Caenorhabditis elegans: one gene and its partners. The protein of the gene in region 3 interacts with the protein of the main gene of each other region in a pairwise test. Each region holds a gene or a part of one and is shown on either strand. Other genes may lie near its edges. The genes, in order: apc-1, F07F6.8 and F47G4.4.

Region 1 (6,410 bases), on a different chromosome or scaffold from region 3:
CATCGAGTTTTATGTGATATACAGTTTTTCTCTAGTATTTAGAATAAAAGTTTTTAATAAATTCATTTTGTTAAAGAACTAGAAGGAAAATAGGCAAAAGAAAATGCAAAAACAAAAAAGAAAAAATAAAGAAAACTCCAATTGCTCGTCATATGTGATGCGTTACAGTAATATCTGTGCGGCACGCAGACGCAACATTGCACAGCGCGGGAAAATTTGTTGTTGACAATTTAAGTTTATACTCCCAAAAAATTGTTTTTTCTCTTTTCAAATGAAAGTTTTGCTGAAGTATTGTGTTTATTTTTGTTTAATTAAAAGTTTTTAAGCGGCGGCAGTGTTAATAAGTGATTCAAGCTGGAATTATCAACTGAAATCAACCAAAAAATCGGCCTGTCGGTCTGTTCTAGCGGTAGAATTCTAAAAACATCATGAATACAGTTTATATGTTTGTTTAAAAACATTTATTGATAAACCTTTTCGAAACGTACTAATTCCCGCCGTATGGCCGGTTTTTAGTGGACTAGGCAACGCTCGGTTTCTAGGCTCTCCCGCGCTATTATACTCATTTGAATTTATCCGCTTTTTATTGAATTTTGAATATATATCGAATAGTATTTATTTTCAGATATTAACAAATCAGAAAATGGACACTGAAAACATCGCCGACGCCTCTGATATTCGTGTGAAGGATGCTTCAGGAGATTCAGATGAAAAAGGAAACGGGACTACTACAGAAGAAGAGACTGTCGAGCAGAAGTAAACTTTTGCTGCAGAATATCATCAATAAAATCACTTTTCGTATTCCAGAGAGAAGCGTCTCGCCGAGTTGCTTGCAGCTGGACGCCGTGCGTTGAAAGTTAACGATATCGACAAAGCATCGGATTCGTTGAGTGAGGCTACTGAACTGAGCTCCGAAATTTATGGAGAAAACCATGAAAACACGTTCGATTCTCTTTACTATTATGGCATGGCCACACTGGAATTGGCGAAGGAGGAGAGCCAACTTCTGAAAGGTCCAGGTGAGAAGGAAAGCGGAGATGAGGAGCAAGCTGGAAATTCTGATGACAAGACTGACGAAGAGAATGGAGAAACGGAGAAGGAGGACGGAGAGGAATCCGGTGAAGAAGAGGACGATGATGATGATACCATGAAATTATCATGGGAAATTCTTGAGGTTTCTTATTTTATTCAATGATTTTATGCTTAATTGTGATTATTTTCAGACAGCTCGTTGTATTGCCGCTGCCAAAATCGAAGCTCTAGAAGCTGAGCAGAGTGGAATCAGTGCCATTGAGGAATGGAACCTGAAACTCGCTGATGTACTGGTTCTCCTCGGCGAGCACGGAATATCAGATGGAAAGTATACTCAGGCTTTTGAGGACTTGGATCGTGCCCTCAACATTCAGCGCAATGTTCTTCCACCGTCGTCGAGAAAAATCGCCCAAACCTACATTCTCATCGGAAACGCGTGTGCTAGCGATGCGAATTACGATGAAACCGTTCAGTACTTCGGCAAAACCAAGGACGTACTCATCGCCAGGCAGACTGAGTTGAAGCATGAGCTGGAAAGAGGTGTTGATGATAAGGAAAAGAAGTCTGAATTTGAGAATGAGCTGAAGGAGCTTGAAGAGATGATGCCAGGCGTTGAAGAAATGATTGCTGATGCTGTGCACTCTGCAGCACAAGTTGAGGAAACTAAGAAGGCCATTAAAGCGCAATTCGAAGGATTCACACAAGTATTGGCAAAACTTCCACAAGAAGCCGGTGATCAGAAGGAAGCAAATGATATTTCTAGCTTGGTACGGTTTGAATTAACTTCCCGTAGACTTTTTAAATATTCAATTAACAAATTTCCAGGTTCGTCGTCCAGCAAAACGAGCAGTGGATGCTCCAACTGACAATCAAGCAGTGAAGAAAGAAAAGGAGGAGGAAGGAACAACTTCGATCTGAATATTGATAACCTGTAATTCTAAATATTTCATCATGATCTGACCTACTGAACTACTGATAATGTATCAATTAACATTTTATCTGTTATCCGAATTTAAGGATTCTAAAGTAAAACTTGTTCTGTATATATATATTCGCCATATATTCGTTTTTATAATTTGTTTCAAATCTTTTTCATACTTCCAAAATAATTTTACTATTTAAAACAGGATTTTCAGCTTCATTCAAATTCGAATTATACTTGTATGAGTGAAGAATTTGATGATTGCCATTGGAAAAATATGATCTCTGCTAATAAACAGTTTGATATTCAGCTGGGAGATGAAATTGGAAAGGTAATTTTTTTTAGATAATTAACAATTTAAAAAAAGTAAACTTAAATTTTCAGGATTTCTTCACCCAGGATACAGTGGTCTGCGCGTTTCGAAACAAGGAGAAGACCACGGATTTTGTCTTCACATCGGGTCCAATTATTCTCATTTGTGATGGAACGACGCGACGGAAGATGATTAAACGACGGTTCAAAATGGAGTTTGATATCAAAAAAGTGTTCTTCCACTCGTTCATTGTGACTCGAAACGCTGAAAAGTTGGCAACTGAGAATTGTGGTGGACCTGATACGAAGCATCGGGATTATTTGGTTGTGTGCGGTGAGCATAAGCTCCAGTTCATATCGCTTCCCGACTATCATTTCTATCACTATGAAATTCCTTTTAAGGTGAGAATTTAGTTTGAAATTCTGATAATTTCAAATATTTCCAGCTTCGCAACGTGTTCTCCTGCTCGACAAGTCTTCTGGTCGAACGGTTCTACGATTCATCCAGCGAACAAACCTTCCACCATCACGACACATTTCACCTCTACTCGCTATCCGGTCCATTCGGCGAGCTTCTCCCGGTTATCTACAAGACAAGCGGCTACCATCCACAATGGAAATTCTGTTGGCAATCGCATCGAGACGAGGCTGGACTCGTTGACGCTCAGCAAAATTACGTTGTTGTCTATGATCAGAAGGAGAAGACGCATCGGATTTATATGGCACGAGAGACACAAGAACAGGAAGTTCACGCAGCGATTCGATACGTTGAAGCACTCAGAAGACCGTCTGATTCAACAATGTTCGCGTCGAGTTTGGCGCCGAATTCTGCCGGCAGAACTACGCATTTTGATCCGACACTCAACTCTCCCGCCGGTAATTTTTGAAAACTTGAGCTTTTGGATAAATATATTATTCGTATTGTATCAGACATTCAAATCGTCAATATTTAGTTAATTTACAGTGATTTAAGTTAAAAACCAAAAAAACCTCGTTTCGAACAGGAAATAATTCGATTTTCCCCAAAAACTACTAAAAAAATCAAATGTTAAATTAGAAAGAGTTGTGATTAAAAACTAAAAAATAAATATTTTCAATTATGATATAGTGTGGAAGTCCGAGTTAATTTATATTCAACAAAAAATCATAATTATTTTCCAGAAAATGTGCTCTCCGAAGTGATCAGCTCGGAAATTGATAGCCGCTCACCGTTCACTCCTCATCTGCGATCCGGTTTTGGACATTCTACTCCAAACAACCCGAACGCTCCAGGCTACCCTGCAACACTTCCAACACCGAATTTTGAAGGTAATTTTTTTTTTTAATTCATAAAAATTTATTAGCACCATTAACCTCAAGTCGTGGGCGATCGTGCACGATGATGATGATCAAAATTTAAAAGTGTTATGCTTCGCCGTTGCTGATGCGCTCGTCCTGGCACTCGATTCTGTTTGACTTGATCTTCGAGGGGGCTCAATTGAGACGTCAACTTGAGCAGTTGAATGTCGCAATTATTTAGAAGAATTGACGGGTTGTTGGGAGAAGACATACGGCGGTTTCTGAAAATACGTGAAGTGAGAATTATAGCTGATGTCCGTCAAATTGTTACATACCGTAGTGCTGTGAAGTCTTGGCTATTCCTTTGAAGAGCTCCACCCGCGCGGAACATACTTCTTCGTCGATATGGAGTAATTGGAGATGATGGCTGAGTTGTTGTAGTCGTCGAGTTGCTCTCTGTTGAGCCAAGAAGAGCACACATTGGAGCTAGATTTGAGTAAATTAGAATATGAATTTAGCCAACAGAAACCAACAACAAAAAAACTATAAAACGAAAAGCACACGGCACACAGCAAACCTAGAAGTTAGTGTATTTATTGTTATATATATATATATATATACGTGGTGAGAAGGAAAGTGTAGAAGCGAACAAAATCAACTGAAGAATATCGAGAAAACTATCTAAGTGATCTACGAGGTGGTGGTGGGCGGTGTTTAGATGATGGTGAGCTACGACACGAATGTGAATGATGAACTTGAGACGCACCGATTGCCGGCGACATGTTCGGTTCGAGAAAATGGGAGGCGGATCGGGAACGTGATGAACGCATCGATGCCATTGAGATTATCGAGCTGGAATGTTTAGATTTTTTTGTGGAAGATATGGAAGAGCACTTACTTTGTAATGCTTAACCGAAGAGGTGTCTTTTCACTTGCACATCCCTCATATCCTCGTTTCATTGATTCGATTAACATGCAGGAAAACTGTCTCCAAGACTCACAAACTTCTTCTTCTTCACTTTTCTCCGCTGCCCTAGACCTTATTCTCAATATTCGCCGAATTCTGAAAACCAGTTGATTTCCCACCCGTGATGTAAATTGTCAAAAAGTTACTTGCTATCCTCTGTGACAACCCGCATGTACATTTTGCTCATGGCGATCGGAAGTTGTTGGGCAAACGGAGCCCAAAAGCAGTTGTCATTTCCCTCATTCATATAATGTCTATAAACATTTTTGTGAGTGTTGTCCCACCCACGCATATGACTAACCGATGGCGTGCTCCGAGACGGAAGGAAAGCGTCTTGATCATTTCTGGATCACATTTGTGAACTTTGATGAGTATGTTGAGAAAGTCACGAACTTGATTGATGATGTTGAGAAATTGAGCATTTTCCTTATAGGTAGCGTGCATAGTCTCTGGTAGATCAACAAGAGCCCATACCCATGTGGGTGTTAACTCGGCGGATTTGAGCCAAGCCTCACTGAAAACAATTGCTTTTCAGGAACAGTCTGAAAAAAGAGCTCACCTAATGGCATCACTCAGAAGCTGTGGATCGTGCGAGTTTATTGTATTCCACGTATGTACTACATGTTTTCGATGTGTAGATAGTTGACGAGCAGACTGATTGCCCATTTTGTTGCATAGTCCGGAAGATCTCTGATACACTGAAAATGAGCTTCATCATTAAGTATCTCATCTATCCTAACTGAGCCAATCGTAAAAGAACAGAATGAATCAAAGAATGGATTTTCTCTTTTCTATCTGTTTATAGCAACGGAAGCTTCAAAGAGAGTAGAAAGAGCACACAGTTGTTTAGCATGCTCTTTTCGCGAAGGTGAATAATGAATAATTATGGGTATTCGAATATGTTATGATGAGCTCACGAGGACGTAACATTATTCAAAGAAATAGCTGAAGAAGTTGTTTTTCAGACATTCTCGTCGAAGATGCAATTTTCACAGAAAAAAATTGAGAAAGGAAGTGCGTCGATCTTCTCAAAGATGATTATATAAAGAGAAGAAGGTCACTCATGTGATAGGAGGTTCAAAACAATGAAAATGCAGAGCCGATTTCTTTTTAAAATCGAGTAAAACTTGGAGCGGCCGCCCGACTTAACTAATAGCGTCCGGAATATGATAAATGGGGCGGCGTCTTGGTGCTTCAGCATTGCAAGATGAGACCAGCAGCAGATGTAAAAACAAAATACGTCCTCGACTAAATAAGAAAAATGATTGACAACGACGTCCGATGTGTTCTGGCAGCTATAAGGAAGAAAAAAGACGTGGGAGGGGAAGGAGGAGTCGAATTGCACACGATATTCTGAATTTCGTTCTGAAATTCGTCTCGAATGTGAACAAAAGTTCTACGATGAGAAAATCAAATTAGATTCGGGGGTGTCACCGCGACTGAACTCTGATTGACGAGAGAGCCTATTGACTAGAGAAGGAGATCTGTGAATGTGAAATTTGAAATCGAAACAATTTGATTATCTTCTCTTCTACGTCAAAAAGGCGTCCGATAGGCGTGAGAAGCACTCATGAAAATTGGAGAGGGAGACCCCCTTTTTCAAAAAAACTGAATTAGACTTTTGAATGAAACGGATATCAGATGAAGCTTTGAAACTTTTCGTGGACTAACTCTATAGAGATCTACAACGAGATTATTAGAGCAACAAGGCCTGATCTTGAAAACGGAGCTCTAAAGGAGCTCCAAACTAGATCAACCTAGCTGCTGCTGCTGCAAGAAATAGAGTCACACTTCCGGGCTGGAAATAGCAAAACTGGAAGAGTCGAGCAATTTGTTGTGTGGCGCCTCATATTCCACGTAAGGCCTGTTGAACATTGCCGCCGCCGAGTGTGCACACCG
Region 2 (5,695 bases), on a different chromosome or scaffold from region 3:
TCATGGCCAGGGTAACACCGTCCAGAACGATTCCGATGGCTGCAACGCTCTGCAGCATTCCTTTCATAAGTGCATTCGTGAGATGGCCCTAAAAACGAAGGTAAAAATTTAAATTTCAAAAAAACAACTATTCTACCATGGAAGATGCGGCCATTTTAATTCCGAATCCTGTGATTCCGGCGAGAGAAACACCAAAAAGTGTTTTCAAATGAGACTGGACATCGTCGAAGTTTTTGAAAATCTTTGACGATTGCTTGTCCTCCACAAATCTCCTCACTTCGTTCAACAAATCATTTCTCGAATGAAGAAGTTCCTCAAAAAACTTCGCATCCTCCGCGAGCATTCGATTGATTTCTCTGATTTTATGATCGGTAGCAAGCTTCTTGTTCACTCCAGTTGCGACATTTGAGACGCCGGAAGCTGCTCCAACGATGAGACCAGCAATTGCAACTGGTGGCATGAAGAATAGTCCTCCGAAAACTGCAAGTCCAGATGCAATATCAACGGAACTTCCGACAGTTGTTGCGATGGCTGAAGCCTTCTCCAATCCGTCAAGCTGAAATTTAGAAAATAAATAGAAAAACTATGTTTTATCGACCTACATCTTTAGCAATCTCCTCCATTCGGTTCATGATCTCTTGTCGGTTTGAGCTCCAACGATCGAGGTGCCATTGAGCTCCCCAGGCTTTAACCTGGAGTTCCTTTGGCATTTCTTCGCCATTCTGAACAAGAAATATAAATTATAAAAAATGAATTTGAATAAAAATCTTACCATCAACGTGCTTTTCAAAGATTCATAGATTGACATATCGCTTTGCAGTTTGTAGATAAGTCTCTGAATCAGTTAATTTAGAATTTGAAATAGTGAATAATTTAATAAGAAAACAAGAATTTAAATGAAGACAAGTTACAGTACAATAAAAAATAATTCCTTAAAAACACGGATTCGTTTTTGATTTTTATTCTGAGCAATGAGGTGTCTTTTCAAGACCACCTGGAATATTGAACATCTGAGCCTTTAAATTAGTACTGTAGAGTATACTGTAGCTCGCATTCTTTCTGGATTTTAATCGATATTTACCATTTTCGGGTTTCCGTTATTTTCACAATGCCCACACTTGAAGTGCCGAATTTATTTTATTTATTCGCATGAAACTTTCGCAAAATAACAACAAAACAGTAGTGAAACCCAGAAAAATTCAAAATCCCGATATTAATGTTGTACAGATGATTCTTGTTGATGTGGATCCATTATCAGTGACTGATTTGGAGATTCTGGCTGCACCATTTCAATAGAACCAACATCGGAGAGGACGTCATCATCGTCTTTCCAGACGTCTTCATTCAAAAAGTGTTTTACCACTTTTTGGCGCATCATTTCCATTTTGGAAGATGCTTCTAAAATAGAAGATCCAAGTTCCGACACGGATCCTTCTCCAAGAGTCTGAAATTTGTATATTTTATTTTGAAAATTTCAAATTAATTGTTGTACCTTGGCGCTCAACGCCAATGTGACACTGTCTAGAACGATTCCAATTACAGCTACACTGTGAAGAACTCCTTTGACAAGAGAAGAGGAGAGGCGACCCTGGAAAATAAATAATATTGATGAAAAAAATAATAAAAAGAGCTTACCATCGAAGTAATTGCAAATCTAGTTCCAATTCCAGTTATTCCAGTAACTGATCCACCGAACACAGTTTTCAGCTTATTTTCAATGTCCCCGTCGTTTTTGAAATGTTTAAAGAATTCCTCATCTTCAACAATTTTCCGAACAGCTTCCATAAGTTCTTCTCTTGATTTCAGAAGTTCTTCAAAAAGTACACCGTCTTCTGCAATCATTGCAGCTACTTCTTTGTGCTGCCCTTTTGTATGAAAAAATTTCGTGATGCCTGTCGCCAAATTGGAAACTCCTGAAGCTGTTCCAACGATGAGACCAGCAATTGCAACTGGTGGCATCAAGATAAGTCCTCCAATAACTGCAATTCCAGATGCAATACCAACGGTACTTCCGACAGCTGTTGAAATTGCACATCCTTTCTCCCAATTATCCAGCTGAAATTAAAAATTTTAAAATTCATTTTGATTAAAATCTCGCATTAAAGTACATACCTTCTCAGCAATTCCTTCCATTTGTCTGACAATTTTTCTTCGATTATTGCTCCATTTGTCCAATAAAAACTGTGTACGCAATGCTGTTTCACTCAATTCTTTTGACATTGACCTTGGAATCTAAATTCATTAATAATTATATTACGAAGACGGGAATTTTTTGTGGAAAGATGCGGTACCCGGTCTCGATACGACAATTTTTGTTAAATACAACCGGATGTGCGCCTTTAAAGAGTACAGTAGGTTCGAAGTATAGTGGCTTGGAATTTTCATCGACTTTTCATAGTTTTCTCGCAATTTTTTGAAAATGTTTGTGTTTTCATTGTTTTAGTTTATTGAAAACAATTTTTTTAGGGAAAAAAACAATGAAAAGTCGAGTAAAAATCCGCAGCAGCAAAAGTTTGAAATTACAGTACTCTTTAAAGGCGCACACCCGCTGGAATTTTACAAAATACCCAGTACCGTATTATTGAAACTTTAAAAAAAATCTTACAAATAGCAAGCTTTCCAATGAATCGTAAATTGGAACTCCGTTGTCTTCCGACTGAGAACCTGCGTCGTCGTGATCATCTTTGATCTGCATCTTGTCTGATTTTATCTGAATTTTGACAAAAATGAAAACATGAGTTCATTACCAGAAAAATATTTAAAAATCGCGAAGTGTGGGAGGATTAGAAGTGAAACAGAAATCAATAAAAAATACCCTAAACTTCGAAAAATTCCAAGACGGGAAGAGCATTTTGATAGAAGGAAACAAAAGTTGGAAGACTGGGGCTAACATGTAAATTCGGAAAAATATGGATCGCGACATAAATAATTTGACGCAAAAATCAAAACAGGAAAACAAGTGACTGATGAAAAACTCCTGATTTTCCCACACTGCCCAAAAAGTCACAAGGACTGGTTTAGAAAATATGATCTAGAATTTAGTATGGTGCAATAAATAAAATAAATATCTAGAAGGGGGGAAAGCCAAAGACGGGTAAATGAAAACGACAAAAAATGTACGAAAAAAAGATAGAATCGATCGAAGAATCACATGTTTACAACCCAATGGCCTTCCCCCTCTTCTATGTCGTTCTCGGGTGCCTCCCATGACACGTTGACCCTCTCGATTAGAGAAAGAGACGACAGAGACTGTGGTGGGACAAGGCTCACTGAGTGAGAATCAAGTGATTCTAGAATGAAGAGAGAAAAAGGTGAAGACTACAGCAGCTAGTATTTTGTTCAATTTCAATGGAAGAAGTTGACTAAATTATGATGAGGAAGGCGAATAAAGGCAATATTATCACACATAGAATAAGACAGTTCCCAAGTATATTGATAAGAAAATTCAGTAGGTATGATACGAAGCGGAAATGGGAAGAATTGGGAAATAAGGCGAACGAGAGCAATTATCGATTGATGATTGGGATTTGAATCATGAAGTCGATGGAGAGCAGTAGGACGAAGTTAGCGGTCCTGAAATAAAAATGTTCAAGTTGGTTATTATAGTTATAAAAGAAGAGACCCAGACGAACACTAATACAGCTACGTATCACAATGTGACCAAACTATTACGAAATTTCGTTAATCTACTTCGGAAATTGAAAGTAAAAAAAAATGTCTCTCGAATTAATTTTGATACTTTTATTCAGTATTTATGGGTACATATTTACGTATTAAAAACCAATTTCGGACCAAAAAACAAAGCTTGCATGGTAAACAAACGTGTTTTTTGGTCAAGTTTATCCTTGTTTGCGTTCTCGCGACGAAAATAAGAAAATGAGCAGCTGAGAGGGTGACTTGTTTTGGTCAGGGCTCAATGCAAAGCGAATTTTCAAGTTATAGAAATTTTTTTAAATTTCCCTGAGTTAGATGCTAGTCATGACAATTTTCAACAAAAAAAAATTGAAACGCTCTTAAGGAATTTAGAAGAAAAATATAATTGTTAAAACAAAACGAAATTCGAAAAAATGAAAATAAACTACGACACTCCGTTATTCCGGATGTGTGTGTTGTTTACAGTAAATCTACACAGCTTGCAATTACGATTTTCTCAATTTGAAGGTTTTTTTTTGAATGGAAGTTAACTTAAGTTTGTGCCCAACAAAACTGATATATGAAACATTCACAACGACAAAAGAAATTGAAAAACCCAATGACACACAACATTCAATAAAATAAAGTAAAAAAGTTTTGAAAGACCCGAAATTCAGTGAGAATACAAAAACCCATAGGTTGAAAAATAAAAGATAAAGACAAAACTAAAAGAAAACAACATTAAAAACCAATTTTACGGATGGGATAAACTCGCCGTTAAAAGCCAGGAATTTATGTTTTTTCTCCAGTTGCTGGAGGAGCACGCTGAATTGTGGATTATAAACTTATTTTAATTTTTAAACTGTCTTATATTTTTTCAATACCTCCAGAAAACTTTGGAATAAAAATTTACTTACCGACATGTAAGTAGAGAATGAACTCGACAGCGTTGACCATTTCTCAGCGACCTTTGAAGCTCCGGCACGGAAAGAATCTTTCAAATCAGACATATCAGGAACCTGAAAATTAGATTTAGAATATTTTAATTTCGATGACAGCTTCGAGCTTACTTGACTAGATTGACGTTGCTGGCTTCCGTTACCCCACAAATCTTCGGATCCAAATGAAGTCTGTCCTTCACACTTGGTCAATGCACTTCTTGTTTCACACTGAAAATATATAAAATTGTAAATTTAAAAATATTACCAATAATATAAAAACATACATCCATTTCAGGCGTTCCAAAGTACATATCACTTGAGATAGCTTTAGCATTTCCGAATTTCTTCTGAAGATCAACATCCGAAATTGGAGATGCTCCAGCAGTCAGGCGAGTCGTTGGTGCACGGGATGTTGACGAAGAGGAAGAAGATGCGGTATAGCGGGATTTTCTGGAAAAAAGTCGTAAAGTCGTGTTTTAAATTAATTTTATATAATTTCACTTACTGCACAGGTTGCGTCTCAAATGAGTCAAAGAAATCATCTTCCTTTGTTGTTTTCTTGCTACTACTCGAAGTATAGTCTTTTGAGAAGAAATCATCCTCGTTGTTCGTACTTTTCTTTCCGTACTTATCATCAATAACCTCCCAATCGTCATCTTCTTTTGGCTGTGAAGGTTTCTTGAACGTAAGAACATCATCCTGTTTAATAGATCGAATACCACCAGCGACTGAATGAGCGGCACGGGATCTACCGACACCTCCCATTCCGAGACGATCGACTGAAGCGGCTTTTGTAGGATCTTTTGCAACCTTTGCCTGAAAAATATTAACTTTAAAAACCAATGTCATTTGTTTGAAATCCTACCTCCATTTGCTTTCTTTGAGCATCAATATCTTGCATGGCAAATTTGGCACTGAGCTTTTGCAATGCAGCGGCATCATCGGATTTTTTCTTACCATCAAGCTCTGTTTGATAAGCAAGCTTGTTCGCAGCAACTTCGGCGGCCGTCTGTCTCTCTTTTTCAGCAGCTCTTTGCTCAATTTCATCAAAATTAATCCGCACTTTTTGAGCTCCGAGAGCATTTTTCTTGGCGCCGAGAGTGGCTTTCTTGATTGGTTTT
Region 3 (9,572 bases):
TCAGCGAAAAGTTACGACGGATTCAAGTTGGTGAGGCTGCCGCGACGCACACGCGCCGCACGCCCACCGAAAAGTTTGGCCAAAGTTTAGTGGGATAGATTGCATTAGAAAACTTAAACTTCGGTCAGACTTGGGCTAAACTTGGATGAAAAGTTGGCTAAACTTGGGTAAAAAGCTGCTGAGAGCTAAAGTTGGGCAAGAAGCTGCAGGTAAATGCCGAGTAACTAGATATTGATTATTCTCCAAAAATGTCAGCACTCTAGCTCTACTGGTAGCAAAGTTATGAAGGTTTTAAGTTGCGGGGGCGCCGCGACGCGCACGCCGACGCACACGCCGACGCAGCCGCGCCGCATGGCCACCAAACTTCAAAACGCCGTAACTTTGTTTATTTTGAAGCTAGAAACTTGAACTTTTTTGCAAAAATCTTAAAATTTTACGATCTACTTGTTTTTCTAGAATTTATATGAAATTGTTTTTTTGTAAATTTTTTTTTCTTAAAATCAAGAAAAAAACTTGGTTCCTGTTTCTTTGGCATGTTTCAATTGTTGCATTCACTCTATAGAAATAAGTACCAAATCTAGTAGTAGCCAACCAGCTCAATTATTCCTGGGGGTTCTTCTCTCTCCCCCTCTTCAGCTGCGCAAACATACAACAAAAGGAGGCGATGGGGGGTGAGAGGGATAGTGAGACGCAGACATTTAAAGACAAGAATTCGAAATGCGCCTTTTCTTTCTCTATTCGTCCGTCCGTTTCTCGTGCCTCCGGTTGCCGCGCGGGGTCGGAACATTAGCATAATGTGTCTCTGTATCTGCCGTCTCTTTTCCCGCAATACTCTCTACAAGTACAGCACGACAGTGTCATCTTTTGCGGGGGGGGGGGGGGGGGGTGAAGAACAGTACAACAACAACCAACCCTAATAATATCATAGTTATATTATTATTTGATTGTTCCTAATTTTGTATACATTCGAGATTTTCCGAAAAAAATTTTTTTGAGCATAGTTTGAAGCGCCTATAAATGTGCCAATTTGCAAGATATCAAAAAATTATTAACTAGTGATTTATAGTACTAAAATTTTGCTACATTTCATCAGTTGAAAAATTTTTGATAGATATTTTAGTTTTGGAGATATACGAGTTTTAAAATTGTAGATTAAAAAAAATTGAAATTTTTTTTGAGCAAATTTTGAAGCCATTTTAACTTTGCCAATTTGCAAGCTATCAAAAAGTAGTTCACTAGTAAATTATAGAACTAAAATTTTACTACATTTTATTAGTTAAAAAGTTTCTGACAGCTGTTTTAGTTTTGGAGATACATGAGTTTTAAAATTGTAGATTTAAAAAATTTGAAAAACATTTTTCAAAATTTTCAAACCCCTGTAATTCTGAAACTATGAGACTTGTCAAAAAGTTGCCAACTAACAAAATTTAGCAAATTTCTTGTCAATTAATTTTTTAGTTGACAATTTTTTCTATGTTCATTTATTTTGAAGCTAGAGAGCCACAACTATATAGAATTTTATTTTTTTGAATCAATTTTCTCCAACTTTTCAAGTATTTTACGCATTATTCATACCTTAAAAGTGACATTTATTACGAAAAAGTGATAAGGGGGTACCCTATGGCAAACATGTACTCCTCCTCCTCACTCACGTTCCGTTTTTGCTCTCACTTTATTTGCTCTCTGTCTTTGCTTTTTCTTGTGTTTTTTTTTTGTGAATTTTGCTCCGTTTTCCGCTAGTTTTCCTTTTCGACTACCGAAAAAGAGCATTTTCGGTGATAAAAAATTACTTTGCAAAATTTTGCTAAACTAGAAAAAAACATTTTGTGAGGGAATTTTTTGCTGAAAAATATGAAGTTTCTTAAAACAAGAAAAGCTTTTAAAATCTATTAAAACTTTAAGTTTTTTTAAAAATCATTTTTAAATTTTATAAATATAAAATTATTTAATTTTTAACCACCTTTTCGAAACATTGATATCTTTAACTATTATCATATTTTCAACAAATTTTTCATATTTTGTTAAATTGTAAAAATAAAATTTAAAATATGATAATAGGAAAAGATTTCAACGTTTCAAAAATGTGGTTAAAAATGAAAATTAAAAAAAAATCTTAAATTTGTTTTACTGTTACATCTTTAAAAACTACAAAATTTATTTCAAAATTTATTTTTGAAAATTGTTTAAACTAAGCAAATTTAAAAAAGTTTTAAATCACTCCAACTTCAAAAAAAATTAAAAATTGTTGTGGTTTTTTTTATTTTTAGTTTGAACTTCCATATTTCAAAAACTACTGAATTAATTAAAAAGTTGTCAACTAACAAAATAAAGGAAATTTTTTGCTTAACATTTTGTAAATTGACAACTTTTTGATAACTTTTCACAAATTTGAGGTATGGTAGTTTTTTCTTTTATAACTTTTTATTGGTGGCAGCTATCAAAAAGTTGGCAACTAAAAAAATGGTGCAAATGTTATGCTTAACATTTTGATAGTTGACAATTTTTAAAAATCTTCAGTTTCCCAGAAGTTATGCCACTTTTTCTCTCCCCCCCCCCCTCCTCGAGTTCTTCCTTGTTTTCATCTATTTTCGGCCCTTTTTCCAAAATTCATTGGATTGATTCTTTCCAATGTTTTTCAATGTTTTTTTCATGGTGTTCGGTTTTAGGATTTTAATTGAAAACACACACCCTGGTGTCTATTTTGTCTATTTTCCCGAAAAAAAAATCCGAAAATAAAATTTTCCCCCTTCTTTCTGTCTCGACGCTCTATAAATTCAATTTCCCTCTTTTTTTCTCACTTTTTCTATTTTTTTTTCACTACTGTACAGCTCTTTAAACTGCGGTTATTTTTGGAAATTTCAGCTAATTTCAAGATTTTTTTTCAGTGTCATATTCTTCCCATGCGGAGCAAATTGTACAAAACATGAAAATTGAAGGTTGGTTTTGATTTTTTTAATTTAGAAAATGCTAATTTTAATTAAAAATACATATGTATGCTGGTTACTAAAAAAATTTCAAAAAAATTTTCCAATTTTCAAAAAAAAAATTTTTTCGAGATTTTTTCAAACTTTCATATCTCCAAAACTACGAGAGCTATTAAAATGTTGCCAACTATCAAAACATAGAAAATTGTGTGATAAACATTTTCATCGTTGACAAAATTTTGATAGCCTTGCTCTCCGCAGAGTTAGAGGAGCCTGAAGTTTGTTGGTACTGCGTTCAGGCTGACTGGAATCTTATAGGGTAACAACTATAGGTTTTAAGGTACTTTTACAGTAAAAATTAATAAAATATTGCTCTTTACAATGTCATAAGTAAAATTTAGAAAAAAACCACAATTTTGAACATTTGAAAGTTTTTGACCAAAAATGTTTTTTTTTCTCAAAAAACATATTTCTCCAAAATTTCTAAAATTTTGCTCACAATCAGACTTTAAATTTCATCCAAATCTATTCCAAACTCTCTAACTATGCCAATTGATGACGTAAACTCTAACCCAAGCTTCTGGGGTGGAAAAGTAATTAAATTTTAGTATTGTGGTGCACCCGCCTGGAAATTGGAAATTGGATGTGTTCCATGCTCCTCTAAGAGAAAAGAGGGCCGTAAAAATAAAAGTACAAATGTATTCCCAAAGGGTTTGTCTAAATTTGGAGGAGAAAAAAAAAATTTGTTCGAATCTCAAAATATAAAATTTCCAATTATAAATTAAAAATTTGCACTTTTGGATTAGTATATATTGAAAATTTCAGAGCCGTAGCTTAACTTTGCACTGAGTTATAAGGCTTCAAAGTATCTAGTTCAACCGCGACGCAACCGCGCCGCACCTACTTAACTTCAAAGCCCTGTAACTCAGCTCAAAATTGACCTACAGCTTTGAAATTTTTTCTCAGAGCTGATTTTAAATTAAGCTTTCATTATCGTTAGCAACCAATTCATTGGGCCGCGACGCAACCGCGTCGCTTCAACCAAATTTTGAAACTCCTTAACATATAGCAACCTTTCCCATTTTTCAGTGGTATCGGCACTACCGCACTCGACGGTCCATTCGGCAGTCCTTTCGCGTCGACACCGCTCCGTCATCTGCGCGGGACCATACGAAGTGCTTCCACTGGAGGGGTGTTCTGAGCCGGTAAGTGTTCTTTTTGTAGTCCAGGGCCATCTGCTTATAATGAGTGGGACCACATGTTGCGAGTCTCTTTCCAGAGCAATTATTCATTGTTTTGGGGCGTTTTTGGGGTCAGACGGATATAAAAGGATTATCCAGATTTTTAAAAAATCTTACATTGTTCACAGTTTGCAGTCAAACTTTGGAAAAAACCTAAATTACAGTGTCAAAAAATTTCAGAGCTCTCGGTCTTTTGAGAGCTAAGATATGAAGCTTTAGAATTTTGACCAGGCGTTGCGGTCGCGTCGCGGCCACCTCCTAAACTTTAAAGCTTGATAAATTTGCTCACCAAGGTCCTAAAGCTCTGACATTTTTGCAGAAGCCTCAAAATTACATGTACTATTCAAATATCTAGCTTTAAACTTTTTAAGCAACAAAAAAAATTTTCGGCCACCCATTTAATTTCCTCCTCTTCCGATCTTCCCCCACCCCGTATAATCCTCTTTGTACCTAACGAGCCGTCAATAATCCCCTCGGCACTTTCGCTGCTTATCGAACCGTAGTTGTCAATTTGAGAAGTGTTACTGTCTCTGCGTCTCGCCTCTCTAATAACAAGATTCTGCCCAGCGATAAGTTTTGATCCGGAATTCTCATGGGGATGCGAACATTGAAAAAGGGTGTGAAAGGGTTCCATATCTAGATGATTGATCTGCTGGGCAGGGAATTTGAAAAGTCTTTGGGAAGGGGGAGCTGGAAAATTTTCAATAGGTTCATAACTTGACAGGAAATGTTGAAAAGAATAGCTCTAGCCGATCTAAAACTTCAGAAAAAATTTCAGAGCTCTGGCACGCTTTGGAGCATAGTTATGGTGCATCGAAAATTGGCGCATGCGGCGCGGTCGCGTCGCGGTTATCTAACTTGGCTCAAAATGGTCCTAGAGCTCTGAAATTTTTTGAGTGACTCTGTTAAGTTTACCACATTCTAATTTTCTATAAAAGCTTGAAATGTACCTATTTATACAAAAACAAATTTTTCAGCTCCCAAGCACCTCAACTCTCAGTGAGCTACCCATCGAGTGCCTCCGACTCTCCACAGATGAACGGACGATCGGTGCGGCGACAAATGCGATTCTCAAAGTTGCGGATATTATAACAGGTCACGAGGTGCGGAATCTAACGGGACACACCTTGCCAATAACCTCCCTAGCCGCTAGCAAGTTCAACCCTTACTGCTGGTACACCGGGTCATCGGATTGTGATTGGACGCAGTGGGATACTAGGATGAATCCGTCTAAAGTGAGTTGAAAAGTGCAAAAATACTATCCAAAAAGTGTCCAAGCTTCAAATCCTCTGTGATACCGAGCCGCGACGCAACCGCGACGCGTGCCCAAATTTTTATCAAAAATGGCAGATAAATACTAGATAACACTATTGGCCAAATTTCACACCTCCGACTCAATTGTGAGCAAAGCTTTGACATTTTAAAAATTGAGGTAGACCGCGACGCGACACGCGACGCACTGCCGAAATTTTATGGCACCGTAACTTTGCTCCCAGTCGTCGTAGGATTTTGAAACTTTTTGTGAAAGCATTCTCTAGAAACAGACTTTTTTATAGACTTTCAACGCGCGTTGTAAAAGAAACTTTCTAATTTTGAAGATCGACCGCGACGCGACACGCGACGCACGCCCAAAACTTCAATACCACATAACTTAGCCCATAGTGGTCCAAATTTTCTGAAACTTTTTGTAATCACCATATCTGAAATAAAGCAGTTTTTTAAAGCGTTCCCAAATTTTCTGAAACTTTTCAAAATATAATGATTTTCAGATTTTCGGGTCCAAAACCCCTGGCGTTGTTCGAAGTATCGCATTATCACCTGGTGATCGCTATGTAGCAGTTGGCACCGACGAAACTATACAGATTTTCGACGCCAGGCAGCGGGAATTTATCAAAACTTTTAACTGTTCGGTAGGTGCTTTTCACTGGAATTTCTGACCATTTTTAAAAAATCAAATTTTGCAGGGTCACGCACTAGAGCTTCACCCCAGCGATGTGCTCCTCTCCTCCGTTGGTCATGATAGGATAGTTCGGTTTTTCTGCCTAGAGACTTTTGAAATGATATCTCAATCCGATCCGTTTCTGGATGATATTCAAGCCAGCGCTTTTGATAGTAAGAATTATATTTAATTTTGGGCCAAAAACATCAAAAAATTGAATTTCAGCCCACGTCATGATAGCTGCTACCAATGATTCTATCAACCTGCTCACTTGGGAGCCCTGCTGTGATATTCTAACGACAGTACCTCTGAAAAATGTGGAGAAGGTAGGGATAGTAACTTGACAACACTTTTGGCTCACTGAAAAATGTGAGCAAAAAGTGTTGTCAGTGTGTGCTCTAGTATTAAAGATCCTGTAACTTGCGTACCAGTTGACGTAGAGTCTTCAAATTTTTAGACGACACTTGTAAGCTTTCACCCACGCGTTGCGGTTGCGTCGCGGCTTGGCCATCAAATTTCTTAGCTCTGTAACTTAGCCAACTAGTAGTCCTATAGACTTGAAACTTAGTCAAAAAGTCACATCGGAAAGCAAATTCCTATCTTATTTTCATGAATCCAAATTTCTAAAAATGTTCATTTTAAGGCATTAACCCAACATTTCAACGCCAGTTATGATTGATTATTTTTTGGCGGAGATTCCAATCTTCTTCCCTTTGTTATGAATTCCATGCCATTTCAGGTCGTCAACGTGAATGCAAACGGTCTGGATTTAGACTTTATTTGCATTGGAGACAACACTGAACGTCTCGAAATGCGCACCTACGCTATAGAAGAGCTGCTCTCCTATTCGCCGAGCCACGAGCTCTGCGGGAGCATTTACGAGGAGGATGAGGATGTGGATAACTCGCCGATTGATGAGGTATTAGCTTTGGGTTTGTACTTGGGGTTAATGTAGGAATTTTCCAGGTAAAAGCGCTACCGGAGCTCACAGAGTTATCGAATTTGCCGCCGAGGTCGCCTGGCTTGTCATGTGAAGAGACGGAGACGTCAGCGTCACCTGTGAATAGTAGCAGCAGCCATTCTAGCCCGACTAGTCCCGTTAAGGTAAGAATAAATTTTTGTCAGAGGCCCATATCTTAAGTACGGACTGCTTCTGGGCCAGTTTAAAAGGCTTCCGAGTCTCATTTTATTGGCCTAAAAACTCGTAAGCTGTCTCAAGTCGTTAGTCTCAATTGCAATTTTCCAGTTTTAGACCAAAGTCTGTATCTAAGTTCAATCCCCTCAATCTTCCTCACAAGACAGTCTTTGAGCTTTGTAAAACCTAAAAGAGCTCTCCATATATTTTCAAACCCTCTAGGGAGTTCCCTCTCCCCTGCTCCAACAGCCGCAGCTTGACATCCAACCTCTTAAATCTTACAGCCAGCTCCCGTCAAACACCGATCGGCATCTCAGAAGCTTCCTGGAAAATCGACCAAGACCCTGAACCCAAAACCAGCGGGGTCCACACGCTCTGTGACCCCAGTCTCCACAAAGCCACCTCGAACATTTGGCACCGCAAAGAGTGTGATTGTCTCGTCGAAGCCATCACTAAGCGGGTACAATAACCGCGCGAATCCGTCGCCTTCTATGTCGGATTTGAGGACGACAAAGTCGATGGCAGGGTCTACGACGTCTTTGTTGAGTGAGAGGGCTCCGAAGAAGCGGTCAACGTCGAGCCGGTAAGCAGGACTAGAGGAAGTAAAGTTTCAAAACTCTAAAACTTTCCAATTTTCCAGCCGTAACCAAGAGCCCATCACCATCACCTACATTGGCCGCCCACGTACCCCTAGCGAAGGAGACGTCGCATCTACAGTATCCTCCTCCACATCCCGCAACCGTCGCCCATCGCCTTCCGTGGCGAAGAAGACCTCCCCTCCGTCAATCTACGCGATCACCTCTTCCCCGGCCAAGCGTGCCTCCTCCACCGCTTCAGGGCCTACTGCCAGACGCCAGAATTCCACGTCATCGGTGACCTCTACCACGTCGGCCAAGACGCCTGTAGGGGTCTGGGGAGCTTGTATAGAAACTGTACATGACATCGGGATAGTTGCGAAGAAGGAGAATAGAAGTGAGTTATTTAGGATCTAGCTTGAAGCGTTAACTACTGGAATTCAGACATCCGACGGCTCAAGATGCTTACCTCCCGTCGAACGAGCAACGTGGATATCCCTCCAGAAGTGTGCTCCGATGAGCAACTAGTGTTAACCGCCACGAGGATACTGAGCAGGAGGAACGATTGGTCATTGAACAGCTGTCATGCCTACCTTCCAGTCATAATAGGTAATCTTGCTTGGTAGTGAAGGTCGTAATGATGTTTTGAACTTTCAGACAACATAGCCAGTGTAGACGTTACAAATCGAGCTATAGCCCTGGAGGGTCTCGCAGCGATCGCTGACACCCTGGGGGAGAGGCTCGTGAAGTTTGCGTCCATGAACTCCCATAGGATAGGAGTAGATGTGGCGGCGGAGGAGAGGGCCGAGAAGGCGAAGGCATGTGTTCAGGTAGGCATCTTGTAGGGGTTTTGCCCTTATTAACCCTACAAATAATTCCAGCACCTCCGCTCCCTGGTCAAAAAACGCGACTGGTACTACAAACAACTCGACGAGCCATCCATTCTCAAACTCGACCCGATTCTAGAGCTTTTAAAGAAGATCTAGCTACCTCATCTGTGATATATTGTTAAGCATTCCCACCACCACTCGCATTTTTGTTCTTTTGTCTTGTCTTTCAGTCATTTGGGTCAGAGATTTTCAGGTTTCTCTACGAATTCCCTCTTTTTAATAAATCATTGAATCATAAATCATAAATTTTACTTTGAGGGCTTCTTATTGCAAAGTCGTGAGTTGTGAGGTGTGAAAAGGGATTTATAATTCATAAGAGGGGGATTTCAGAAATCCTAAAGTTATTGATAAATTAAAAGGTTTTAAGCCAGCAAGCCCACTTGTACACATCCGAGTCCTGAGTCCGCAGAACTTTTCAAGTGCCCCCGCAAAGTCCCTAGGCTTTTAGGCCTTCTCTAGACCCTCAATATTTAAAATTTAATCACTATCTATGTTTTGAAATCCTACTAATCTATACCCCCCTCCATATCTCCATTAAAAGATATAGCGAACTTGCGTTGCTATGACTCCCTCTAGCCGCTCTCCCCTACAAGCCCCCTGCTCCGTGTCCCCTCGTGTCGGTGACCCAGTGGAGAAAATTGACGTCTTCCGCTTATGTGTCTCTCCGCGCTTGTCTTCAAGTTTGCAAAGAACCTATAAAAGTTTGTCTTTAGTCCTCTCTATATGTACAACTTTTGCGGTTTTTTTTTGGTTTAAAGTTCAAGTCTGTCGGGTTTAGCTTGGGAATCTTCCCAAATTCCGCTAATCCTCTCCAAGTCCCGTTCTTCTACAAACTCATTTTCCTTCCAGTGCAATTCAGATTTCTAAA

The links.
Region 1: the proteins of F47G4.4 (region 3) and apc-1 interact in a two-hybrid assay, tested with the Caenorhabditis elegans proteins (one large-scale study listed by BioGRID).
Region 2: the proteins of F47G4.4 (region 3) and F07F6.8 interact in a two-hybrid assay, tested with the Caenorhabditis elegans proteins (one large-scale study listed by BioGRID).

Annotation. Positions count from the first base shown.
Region 1 is NC_003280.10:11,105,993-11,112,402, forward strand, and holds the start of apc-1 (Anaphase-promoting complex subunit 1), read left to right. Parts: upstream 1-2,168; 5' UTR 2,169-2,231; coding exon 2,232-2,285; intron 2,286-2,338; coding exon 2,339-2,668; intron 2,669-2,712; coding exon 2,713-3,142; intron 3,143-3,427; coding exon 3,428-3,574; intron 3,575-3,578; exon of another isoform or gene 3,579-3,620; coding exon of another isoform or gene 3,621-3,825; intron 3,826-3,879; coding exon of another isoform or gene 3,880-4,030; intron 4,031-4,310; coding exon of another isoform or gene 4,311-4,396; intron 4,397-4,442; coding exon of another isoform or gene 4,443-4,607; intron 4,608-4,657; coding exon of another isoform or gene 4,658-4,765; intron 4,766-4,812; coding exon of another isoform or gene 4,813-5,025; intron 5,026-5,070; coding exon of another isoform or gene 5,071-5,177; exon of another isoform or gene 5,178-5,215; intron 5,216-5,238; exon of another isoform or gene 5,239-5,361; intron 5,362-6,410. Other genes in the region: nasp-1 (Protein NASP homolog 1), read left to right, coding at 644-756, 808-1,174, 1,224-1,799, 1,858-1,950; glb-4 (GLOBIN domain-containing protein), read right to left, coding at 3,621-3,825, 3,880-4,030, 4,311-4,396, 4,443-4,607, 4,658-4,765, 4,813-5,025, 5,071-5,177. UniProt on the Caenorhabditis elegans protein: Probable component of the anaphase promoting complex/cyclosome (APC/C), a cell cycle-regulated E3 ubiquitin ligase that controls progression through mitosis and the G1 phase of the cell cycle.
Region 2 is NC_003280.10:5,423,024-5,428,718, forward strand, and holds F07F6.8 (Apolipoprotein L3-like), read right to left. Parts: upstream 2,711-5,695; 5' UTR 2,696-2,710; coding exon 2,606-2,695; intron 2,233-2,605; coding exon 2,113-2,232; intron 2,056-2,112; coding exon 1,636-2,055; intron 1,589-1,635; coding exon 1,493-1,588; intron 1,445-1,492; coding exon 1,214-1,444; 3' UTR 1,118-1,213; downstream 1-1,117. Other genes in the region: F07F6.7 (Apolipoprotein L, 1), read right to left, coding at 1-88, 137-556, 603-722, 773-808; rfgp-2 (ARF GTPase activating Protein), read right to left, coding at 4,426-4,458, 4,551-4,652, 4,704-4,802, 4,859-5,024, 5,080-5,390, 5,440-5,695.
Region 3 is NC_003279.8:14,062,117-14,071,688, reverse strand, and holds F47G4.4 (WD_REPEATS_REGION domain-containing protein), read left to right. Parts: upstream 1-2,885; 5' UTR 2,886-2,923; coding exon 2,924-2,936; intron 2,937-4,013; coding exon 4,014-4,129; intron 4,130-5,142; coding exon 5,143-5,400; intron 5,401-5,934; coding exon 5,935-6,075; intron 6,076-6,129; coding exon 6,130-6,277; intron 6,278-6,329; coding exon 6,330-6,430; intron 6,431-6,843; coding exon 6,844-7,023; intron 7,024-7,070; coding exon 7,071-7,208; intron 7,209-7,523; coding exon 7,524-7,822; intron 7,823-7,879; coding exon 7,880-8,211; intron 8,212-8,258; coding exon 8,259-8,423; intron 8,424-8,471; coding exon 8,472-8,644; intron 8,645-8,695; coding exon 8,696-8,800; 3' UTR 8,801-8,940; downstream 8,941-9,572.